Saccharomyces cerevisiae S288C: one gene and its partner. Each later gene encodes a partner of the first gene's protein in a complex. Each region holds a gene or a part of one and is shown on either strand. Other genes may lie near its edges.

Region 1 (5,619 bases):
CAATTAGTATTATGTATTGTAGACAAGGATGAGGGAGAGGTGGTGGAAAGATGGTCCTTCAATGTGCAACACATTTCTGGCAATAGCAACGGGCAGGATGATGTTGTAGATTTAAATACAACACAATCACAAATCAGAGCTTTAATCAGGCAAATCACCTCAAGCGTTACCTTTCTGCCCGAACTAACAAAAGAAGGTGGGTACACATTCACAGTACTTGCATATACAGACGCGGATGCTAAAGTTCCGTTAGAATGGGCCGACTCCAATAGTAAAGAGATACCTGATGGTGAAGTAGTTCAATTCAAAACATTCTCTACCAACGATCATAAAGTTGGTGCGCAGGTCAGCTATAAATATTAATAGAATTCAAGTCAAAAAAAAAAAAAAAGACGGAAGTCCAAAAAAATCTCGTTTTCGATGTTTAGAAAGAATATAGATTTATGAACTATATTATACTATACTACGTACTTCCTCTGTAAACCACTTCATGCGTTTTTTCAAGTGCCTCTGTTAAAGAACCTTGAGTGAGAAACGAAGTCTTTGACACTCAAACTTTGCTTTTTTTGTTCTTCTTTTTGTTGTTGTATTTGAGGGGTGGATACTATCCTCTTCATAACAGGTGGTGATATTTTCAGATCTTGCCTCACAAATTTTGACCAATTCGGATCTTGCATCCTTGCCAAGTTGTTTTCAAATTGACCCAAAAGTACCTTGTCCCACTTGAATATGAAAAGATCGCGATTACTGTCTGGCCTGCTGCCCTCGTCAGTGTCGTCTGTTTCTAAGTTGTAGGCACTCCATAGCTTTTTCCATAATGCCAGGTCCCATGGAATGCCCTTTAAAGCGAGGACAAAAGACCATACCGCTGAATCAGGGTTATTATTGGTCAATTTGGAGTAGGTCTCGTAATAGTCATCAGCGGAATCCAGAGGAGCCATTAGAAGTTTAATAAACTTCAGCAGCTGGTCTATATTATTGTCTGCATGTCTTTTCACCCTCTTATAAGAGGTATTTTCTCGCAAGTCAGAATCGTTACTTACACTTTCTGGTAAAGTGTGAAAAATCTCCTTCAGCAATTCTAAATCAAGGAGAAGCTGCTCGCCAATGTTGACAACAGTTCTGGTTTCAAATTTCCTTTTGCTGCCCGCCAGGGAAAAGGGTGGAACGGGCTGCAGAAGGCGGATGGTATTGCTTACAAAATTTGTAGTGATGATATCAATCACCTTATCCAAGAAATTCCACTTATAAACATCTCTATTGAATTGCGACAAAATAAATGCCAAAGTCGAAGGTTGCTCTTGCTGTTGTTTAATAGAGGCATCTGTTAATGCGGGCATTTTAAGTACGGATTTGAGGGTTACCATGTACCTGCTATAATCTTCTATCGCAGCATTTGACCAATCATTGTTGATAAACTCTCTCCATACAAAATTTAGATCTAAGGGTATGACACGGTTTAATAGAAAAGAAGTTCCTTTTGCTAGTAAATCGTCGTATATATTTTTCGTTTTCGTAAAACTGTTTGCCAGCTTTTCACGATTACCGCTGAATTCAGATAATTTATCCTCCAATTGATCTATAGTCGTGGCACAATAATCTGCAGTATTGATCAATAAAACGGTATACTTGGCAGCTTCTAGCTTATCCTGGACTTCAATATTGTCGGGCAGCAGTAAAGGAAGAAGAATTTTTTGTGAGTAAGTTTGAAGCCATCTACTGAAAAAATTTGCCAATGAAGTCAATATGCTATCATTGGCATTATTATCAATGAGCTCTAAGGTCTGAGTCAGTACGGAACGATATGTCCTGAAAAGGTCTGCACTCGAGGGTAACACGAGAGATTCTGTTTCATTAGATGGGTACTTCGGCTCACTCATATAAGAAAGAAATTTCTTTTCCATCATTTGGTTTTGGTGAGACACCCATAAAGTCAAATAAGGTTCGAAGCAGGAACTTAGTTTTGGTTCCTTAATTTTTTTTGAAAATCGTACGTCGATGTATTTTTCGAAATCTAGCGTCGATTGTAATGCTGTCATGAATAGATCAATGGAAGGGTTCTTGTCTTTGAATTCCCTTTTCAGAAGTGTCTGAAGGTCCTTGTGTGTAATGTGATAAAAAGTGGTGGTCAATCTGACTGCCATTTCCCAGTCTTTTAAGAAATAGTCTGCGAACTTTGAATTGAAGTTATTAAGAATTTTTTTGAAGTAAATGTATCTTCTCGATAAATTTTCTAGGGATCCGGCTTCATCGTCGACCCTAAATATCTCTTTCATTTCGAAGAGAAGTTTGTCCAAACACCAATCTATCATCTGGGCTCTCGTACTTGTATCGCAGTCGAGTAGCTCGCAGGCACCTTCGCGCAATTCCATAGTGAGTGCTGTATCATGCTCTGAGATATTGCCGCCGGAAAAGAGCGCATTGTAGTTTTGTTTAATTTTGGACAAAGTGTCTCCTTTCAGTCTTGAAATGGAGCTCAACAAATAGTTTATCTCGTCCAATGATTTGTAAGAGATGAATGTGTTTTCAGCAAGCGAACACATTATCTTATAAGGGGACACCATTTTTTTGAATGAGCCCTGTGAGAGTAATTCATTGCATTGTATGTAACTGTCTGTCAATATCTTTAAATTTTGGAAAAGAGTCAAAGAGTGGGTGAGGTTTTTCTTGGCAATGTCCAGGTACGAGATACCTTCTGTCAGATTCGATATCGTCAACTCGGTGGAGGCTGAGACATCTTGAGTTTCTTTGAAATCTTGGAAAACTTTCCTCAGAGAAGCCTCTATTTCAGCGGAATTTTTAGGGTGTTCCTTCAATTCATTCTCTTCTTTGAGAATATCCTCTTGCAATTGCTTTTTGTAGCTTCTGGTAATACTGATCAGTTCATCTATGTTGTTCAGGGATTCTTTTGAAAAAAGTATATTGGTAATATCTTCCAGCGGGTCATAATCTACCGTACCTTCCAGCATTGTCCTTCTGAGAAAACAAAAATGGAAGATGTTGTGAAAATGCAGTAAGTGACAATAAGCTAGCGACTTTTCAATGATCGCAGATTAAGTATATATACACTTTAGGTCTCCTTCTCTTCTTTACTAGCTACGAAAAAACAAAGAAAAAAAAAACAAAATAGAGGGAAAAAAGATATACGTATAAAAATATGCTCCAGGGGAGGTTCGAACTCTCGACCTTCAGATTATGAGACTGACGCTCTTCCTACTGAGCTACTGAAGCACTATTTCTTGTTCCAACCGAGGAATAATACTAGACCTGTAGAAAAGTACCGCTTATCTAATATCCAACTTTTTCTTCTGTTCCCTTTAGTGAATTCAAGATGAAGGAACATAACAGAACGGAAAACAAAAAAAAAGGGAAGAAAAAAGATATCACCACCAATTGGCACGCTCGCAACGGTTTCGGGCCAGATTCATGGCCCTGTGGGGTAGAAGTGCCTACAGACAAAAAACCGTTACGTCCCGCCTCACCAAGCATCGACACACAAGCCCTCTCAACCTCCTTAATTTCTTTATCTTTTTTTCCCTTCACCTCTGTGCTCTTTTTTTAGCCACAGCTGTGCATTACGCTTGCTTTGCTTGTTTTGTTCTCTTTCGCCATGCCATATTACTACTTTTCTACTTACTGGCACGAGGCCGCGCAAGCCAGATCCAAGCACGCCAGAAAGTGCGGTGTACTGGTGCAACCTTTTATCGATTTCTCATCATATCGCTATCGCAACGGGCATGGGCGACGAAAAAGCCAATCTAAAGCGTTGTCTTCCTCGTTCCTCGCGCACGCGATTTTGCGTTCTGCATAGGAAGCCGAAGTCGAACAAGAAGCAGGCAAAGTTTAGAGCACTGCCCCTCCGCACTCAAAAAAGAAAAAACTAGGAGGAAAATAAAATTCTCAACCACACAAACACATAAACACATACAAATACAAATACAAGCTTATTTACTTGACATCGCGCGATCTTCCACTATTCAGCGCCGTCCGCCCTCTCTCGTGTTTTTTGTTTACGCGACAACTATGCGAAATCCGGAGCAACGGGCAACCGTTTGGGGAAAGACCACACCCACGCGCGATCGCCATGGCAACGAGGTCGCACACGCCCCACACCCAGACCTCCCTGCGAGCGGGCATGGGTACAATGTCCCCGTTGCCACAGAGACCACTTCGTAGCACAGCGCAGAGCGTAGCGTGTTGTTGCTGCTGACAAAAGAAAATTTTTCTTAGCAAAGCAAAGGAGGGGAAGCACGGGCAGATAGCACCGTACCATACCCTTGGAAACTCGAAATGAACGAAGCAGGAAATGAGAGAATGAGAGTTTTGTAGGTATATATAGCGGTAGTGTTTGCGCGTTACCATCATCTTCTGGATCTATCTATTGTTCTTTTCCTCATCACTTTCCCCTTTTTCGCTCTTCTTCTTGTCTTTTATTTCTTTCTTTTTTTTAATTGTTCCCTCGATTGGCTATCTACCAAAGAATCCAAACTTAATACACGTATTTATTTGTCCAATTACCATGCCTAAAGAGACCCCTTCCAAAGCTGCTGCCGATGCATTGTCCGACTTGGAAATCAAAGATTCCAAGTCCAACCTTAACAAGGAATTGGAGACATTGAGAGAGGAAAACAGAGTAAAGTCAGACATGCTTAAGGAGAAATTGAGCAAGGACGCTGAAAATCACAAGGCTTACTTGAAATCTCATCAAGTTCACCGTCACAAACTTAAGGAAATGGAAAAGGAGGAACCTTTGTTGAATGAAGACAAGGAGAGAACTGTTCTTTTCCCTATCAAGTACCATGAAATCTGGCAAGCCTACAAGCGTGCCGAAGCTTCTTTCTGGACCGCTGAAGAAATTGATTTGTCTAAGGATATCCATGACTGGAACAACAGAATGAACGAAAACGAGAGATTTTTCATTTCCAGAGTTCTTGCCTTTTTCGCCGCTTCTGACGGTATTGTTAATGAAAACTTGGTTGAAAACTTCTCCACCGAAGTCCAAATTCCAGAGGCAAAGAGTTTCTACGGTTTCCAAATCATGATTGAAAATATTCACTCTGAAACTTACTCCTTGTTGATCGATACTTACATCAAGGACCCTAAAGAAAGTGAATTCTTGTTCAATGCCATTCACACCATCCCAGAAATCGGTGAGAAGGCCGAATGGGCTTTAAGATGGATTCAAGACGCTGACGCCTTGTTTGGTGAAAGACTAGTTGCCTTTGCCTCCATTGAAGGTGTCTTTTTCTCCGGTTCCTTTGCCTCCATTTTCTGGTTGAAAAAGAGAGGTATGATGCCCGGTTTAACCTTTTCCAACGAATTGATCTGTAGAGACGAAGGTTTGCACACCGACTTTGCATGCTTGTTGTTCGCCCATTTGAAGAACAAACCAGACCCAGCCATTGTTGAAAAAATTGTCACCGAGGCTGTGGAAATTGAACAAAGATACTTCTTGGACGCCTTACCAGTTGCTTTGCTAGGTATGAACGCTGACTTAATGAACCAATACGTTGAGTTCGTCGCCGACAGACTGTTGGTTGCTTTCGGTAACAAGAAATACTACAAGGTCGAAAACCCCTTCGATTTCATGGAAAACATCTCCTTGGCCGGTAAGACCAA
Region 2 (5,371 bases), on another chromosome or scaffold:
AATCTGATAATGGCGAATTTAATGGGTATGGTAATGCTGTGTCACATAACGTCAATACCTCCAGAGGCTATGATTACATATACGATTATAACTCGGTCTACACTGGTGATACTTCCAGTTTTTTACCAGTAGATTCATGTGACATTGTAGATGTTCCTGAAGGAATGGACTTACAAACAGCCATTGCAGATGATAATGCATCAAACTATGAATTTAACAATGCGGTAGAATCCAAGGAAAAACATGTTCCACAACTACACAAAGCTTCAGCAAATAATACAACACGTCAACATGGATCGCATATGTTATTATATGACGACGACAATTACAGCTCTTCATCAGATAGCGAACAGCAATTTATTGAAGACTCACAATACAATAGTAGCGACGACGAAGAGGAAGAAGATGACGATGACCAAGAAGTAGACGATAACCACGATGAAGGACTTTCACTGAGGAGAACATTGTCACTTGGGAAATCAGGATCTACCAATTCTTTGTACGATCTAGCACAACCATCACTCTCTTCGGCAACTCCTCAACAAAAAAATCCTACTAATTTTACAGGGGGTAAAACTGATGTAGACAAAGATGCACAACTGGCTGTCAGGCCGTATCCGTTGAAGCGCAATTCCTCTTCAGGGAACTTCATATTCAATTCAGATAGTGAAGAAGAGAGTAGCAGCGAGGAGGAACAAAGACCATTACCCGCTAACAGTCAGCTGGTTAATCGAAGCGTATTGAAAGGCAGTGTGACACCAGCAAACATATCATCTCAGAAGAAAAAAGCCCTTCCAAAGCAGCCAAAAGCGTCCGATAGTTCACAAAGCTTTAGAATTGTAAATAATACTCCTTCACCAGCCGAAGTGGGGGCGAGTGATGTTGCCATAGAGGGTTATTTCTCTCCTAGAAATGAATCTATCAAGTCTGTTGTTTCCGGGGGAAATATGATGGACCATCAAGATCACTCAGAAATGGACACTTTGGCAAAAGGATTTGAAAACTGCCATATAAATAATGCTAGTAAGCTAAAGGACAAGAAAGTTGATAGCGTGCAAACCACTAGAAAAGAAGCGTCTTTGACGGATTCGAGTAATGAAAGCTTACACAAAGTGGTGCAGAATGCAAGAGGTATGGCAAGCAAGTACTTGCACTCTTGGAAAAAGAGTGACGTCAAGCCACAAGAAAATGGAAATGACAGCAGTTAGAAGAAAGAATTTTGAAGTCAACATGAAGAGAAAATAAAAATCCAGGTAGTGTGGATCAGTGCCGTCTTTAGGATCCAAGTAAGCTGTAATCGACTGGCATTGTCAAGGACAAATGTAGACAGCGAAGCAGTTATTTTACGTACACAATTAAATTCGCTCCAGATTTCAAAACTTCTTTATACCTTTACAATATTTGGTACTTATGTACAAGAACTTCTTGAGCTTCCATAGTCGTATGTGTGTTCTATATATTAGCAATTAAACGCAGCTGATCTAAGATATGTTCGTGGGTAATGATTTTCAGATAGAGTACAATCAATGTTTTCTTCGATCTTTAAAGGGTTTTTCCTTTATAAAGAAGACACCACACAACAGTCTAGAAAGTAAACAAAACAAACTACGACACGGCTTGTTTTAGGCACAACTTTGTTTTAGGCAGAGCTTACAGTAATTGGCAGTATTGATATCCTAAAGCAGTATTAAAACAATTTAAAGGTTTGGTGAGGTATCTGGCCAATGTCAATAAGCGAAACACCTCATAATAAAAGCCAGGGACTGCAAAAAGCGGCTGGTCGTCCTAAAATTGTTGTTCCTGAGGGATCGCCTTCTCGTAATAGTGATAGTGGCTCTTTTACTATAGAGGGTGATACTTCCCTTAATGACGACTTGTTAAGTATATCTGGCAGTGTCACACCAAGAGCGAGAAGATCTTCGAGATTAAGTCTGGATTCAATAACGCCGCGAAGAAGTTTTGATTCTAGGACACTATCTGTTGCAAATAGTAGATCATTCGGTTTTGAAAATGAAACACATAGTGGGTCCATGGACTTTTCGCCATTGGGAAATAACTCCATCTATGAAATTGTGATGAACACAAGGAGGAAAAACTGGCTCAATTACCCCACTGTTGCTGATATTCCACAAGTTAGCCTAAGCAAAAATGATCTGGATGACCATTGGAAAACTCATGTTATCGAATACGTCAAAAACATTAAAAGTGATTACCAAATATTTCAAAGCACAAATAATATAAGAAACATGAATCAGATGGAACAGTTAAAAGAACTGCGAGAAGGGGAAAATATGCATGAGGAGTCGTTTGAAGCAAATCTGAGGCAAGGGGATGCCGAGCTAATAAATAGTATACCTGACTTTTACTTTTCAGACAAATTTCAATTAGATAACCCTCGAACTTTTCATAAAGTGTTGGACGCTATCGATTTATTTTTAACGAAACTAGACATGAAGAGACAAGCGGAAAGGGATGAGGCTTTTTCTGAGTTGAGGGACAGGCTAAACGATTTTTTGGATATCGTAGAAACATTACTGGTTACAGAGATATCCAAATCCTCACACAAATTTTTTCATGCGCTAAGTGAAGTTGACAATATTCAGAAAAGAGCCTTGGACACAATGAGCGAGCTTAAGGAGCTAGCACAGAATATCAAGACCATTGACGCAGAGAATATAAGAAAAAAAATTTCACATTTAGAAATGATTTTTAAGAGGAAGAATGTAGAGAAACTAGAACAGGGATTATTACAGGCGAAGTTAGTGCTGAACAAAACAGATGAGTGTAAGTCAATGTATGAGGAGAACAAGTTGGATAACTGCTTAGAGCTGATAAAATCCATCGATTATCTGATTAAGGGGGATGATTCAATAAACGAAGATGTTCAGAGTTGGACTAGGTGTTGGCCCTATAAATTAAGCAATTTGAGGACGATACCTGCTTTGTCAGCAACGAGAGAGTTTTTAACCAATATGAAGATTGAAATAGGAGGAAAGTTCAGCCTACAATTATCGATTTTACTAATAGATGATTTAAGATCCTTTTGCAAATCAATCAAACCAAAGGAAACACTACATAGGATACAAACGGGATCTAATGATAAAAAGCAAACTATATTTACTGATAATTTTTCTTCAAAGATAACCGAATTAATAGTCAGATTGAATAGATGCGAAGAATTAACGAGTGCCTTTGACCTATACAGGGAAAAATCTATCACTGAGCTTAAATCTATCATAAAAATTTATTTGCCAACAGAGAATGCACACGCTGACAATAACCACGATGAAAAACATCTTAACAATGGCTCTACTAGTGGGTCTAAACTTTCAAGATTAATAAAGGAGCAAACTCCTGCAGAATTTCAGTCCATGCTAGTAAACATATTCACGCACGCGCTCGAAGCTCTTCGAAGACTTTATGGGCATCAAAAGTTGCTTCTAGATATCTCTCTTAACGAGCTAGCATCTGTTAAAAGTCCAAACGAAAACCAGCACAACATGATTACGCAATTGGATATACGTACTGGCATCAACGAAATAATCAGAATTATTCAGTTACGTACAGGCAAGATCATTGCCGTAAGAAGAGAATTGAACTTATCTCTACGGTATGATTATTTCTTGAAATTTTATGCTATATGCGTTATTTTTATTCAAGAATGTGAAGTATTAAGTGGTGAATTTTTAACGAAATATTTAAGTAATGTTTTAGCATCTCAGATCAAGCATTATGCAAACGCACAAAGTTCAAAAAATTACCGCAACATAAAGAAAAAGATTGATGCTGAAGAATGGATTCCATATATTGTGGACTCCTCTATTCAGAGCGATGTTAACGACATTGTGTCAAGTATAGACATAGACCCATTGAGTTGGACAACTATTTTAGACATGGTAGGGGGTTCTCATGATTGCGAAAATGGCAGAAGCGAGGACAAGGAAAAAGATGAAGGAAATGAAACATATCAAGGTCATAGGAAATCGGTTGTTGTTGGCGATAAAACTTTTGTGGCCAGTAGTTCTCTGCTCGCTACCATTGAGGTTATTAAGGAGCTAATGGTTCTTTCCATAAACCTTCCCTCGATATACTTATCAAATTTCGAGAAGTTGTGCTATGACGCACTACAATACTACAACAGTAGCGCCATGGCATCTGTCACACAACCTGGAAACTCACTTTTAAAAACGGGTAGAAACTTATCTATCATGGGAGAGTCATTGGACTGTCTCGCAGAATTTGTGATTATTGTTCAGAGATTTTATCAAAGGCTTTCCAACTCTAACAGGGATTTTGAGCCATTCGATGCGAGTCATTATACAACCCTGTTGGGGCAATTCCAGGCCTCATCGAATAAAATATACATGGCCAATGCCCCACCTCCGCCTGTATAAACATGATAAAGAAAAATTAGATTTCAAGCTATGTACCATTATTTACTTTTTAAACTAATGAATCATCGATGTTATATTCTCTAAGAAATTCCGCTTTTTTTTTAGAACATTATCTACGTATTATTTTTCCAAACATGAGCGGTGAAGAAATGATCAAACAATGAAGATCGAGCGAGGTCAGAGCTTTCCAAATGCGATAGGAAAGGACTTTTTCCAGCAGCTATGAAAATGTACTTCAAGTATCTCGTCAGTTGCTTTACAACTCATCTCCTGTAATTTCCAACATAGCATCGTTCACGACACAGTTGGCGCTGAACAAATTTTGTGCATAGAGCAAGCAGCCGTTTCTTGTCTGCGTCAAGAAGAAAGATAAAGGTAGAATGGACAGCGTGTCAAACCTTAAGAGCACAAATTTTCAGAACAATAATGACCCAAAAGAATCTGTAGAAGAAGCAGTGCTAAGGTATGTGGGAGTCGACTTGAAGAATCATATTAAAAAGACAAAGAAGAAATTGAAGAAACAGAAGAAGAGAAAGCATGGTTCAAAAATGTCTCATGAAGATGAAGACACTGATATGGATTGGTATTTGAAAACATCGGGTTCAAAAGATTTACGTAAAGTGGATGATATCGAACCAAATTCTGTTGCTGTAGCAGCTGTTGCTGCCGCATACAACAGCTCAATGAGAGAAAAAGATAAGAGGAGCTGTCATAAAAAATCTTCTAATAGTAGATCAGAGAGGAAGAAGCACCGTAAAAGAAAAAGCTCTAAAGAAAGAAAAGCCAAAATAAAAATGGTCCTAGATCCGCAGCTGACTACACTGGACGATGGCATAACGACAACAGCATTTTTACCTGATGATCTCATTGCTGAAACAGCTTTTGATAAGTATGTTGATACTGAAAAGGCATACCTAGCTAAACATCCAAGTAAATCGTTAGAAGTTAATGAGGATGATAAAGAAAACAACTTTAAT

Evidence for each region.
Region 2: VPS53 (region 1) and VPS54 share a complex: the UniProt entries of both Saccharomyces cerevisiae proteins name them as parts of the golgi-associated retrograde protein (GARP) complex.

What each region holds. Positions count from the first base shown.
Region 1 is NC_001142.9:387,885-393,503, forward strand, and holds VPS53 (Vps53p), read right to left. Parts: upstream 2,970-5,619; coding exon 501-2,969; downstream 1-500. Other genes in the region: spindle checkpoint protein MAD2, read left to right, coding at 1-363; YJL028W (uncharacterized protein), read left to right, coding at 3,427-3,762; YJL027C (uncharacterized protein), read right to left, coding at 3,949-4,365; ribonucleotide-diphosphate reductase subunit RNR2, read left to right, coding at 4,520-5,619. UniProt on the Saccharomyces cerevisiae protein: Involved in retrograde transport from early and late endosomes to late Golgi by linking the vesicle through the t-SNARE TGL1 to the Golgi, leading to the membrane fusion between late Golgi and endosomal vesicles.
Region 2 is NC_001136.10:493,672-499,042, reverse strand, and holds VPS54 (Vps54p), read left to right. Parts: upstream 1-1,724; coding exon 1,725-4,394; downstream 4,395-5,371. Other genes in the region: protein phosphatase regulator REG1, read left to right, coding at 1-1,208; NSI1 (Nsi1p), read left to right, coding at 4,775-5,371. UniProt on the Saccharomyces cerevisiae protein: Involved in retrograde transport from early and late endosomes to late Golgi by linking the vesicle through the t-SNARE TGL1 to the Golgi, leading to the membrane fusion between late Golgi and endosomal vesicles.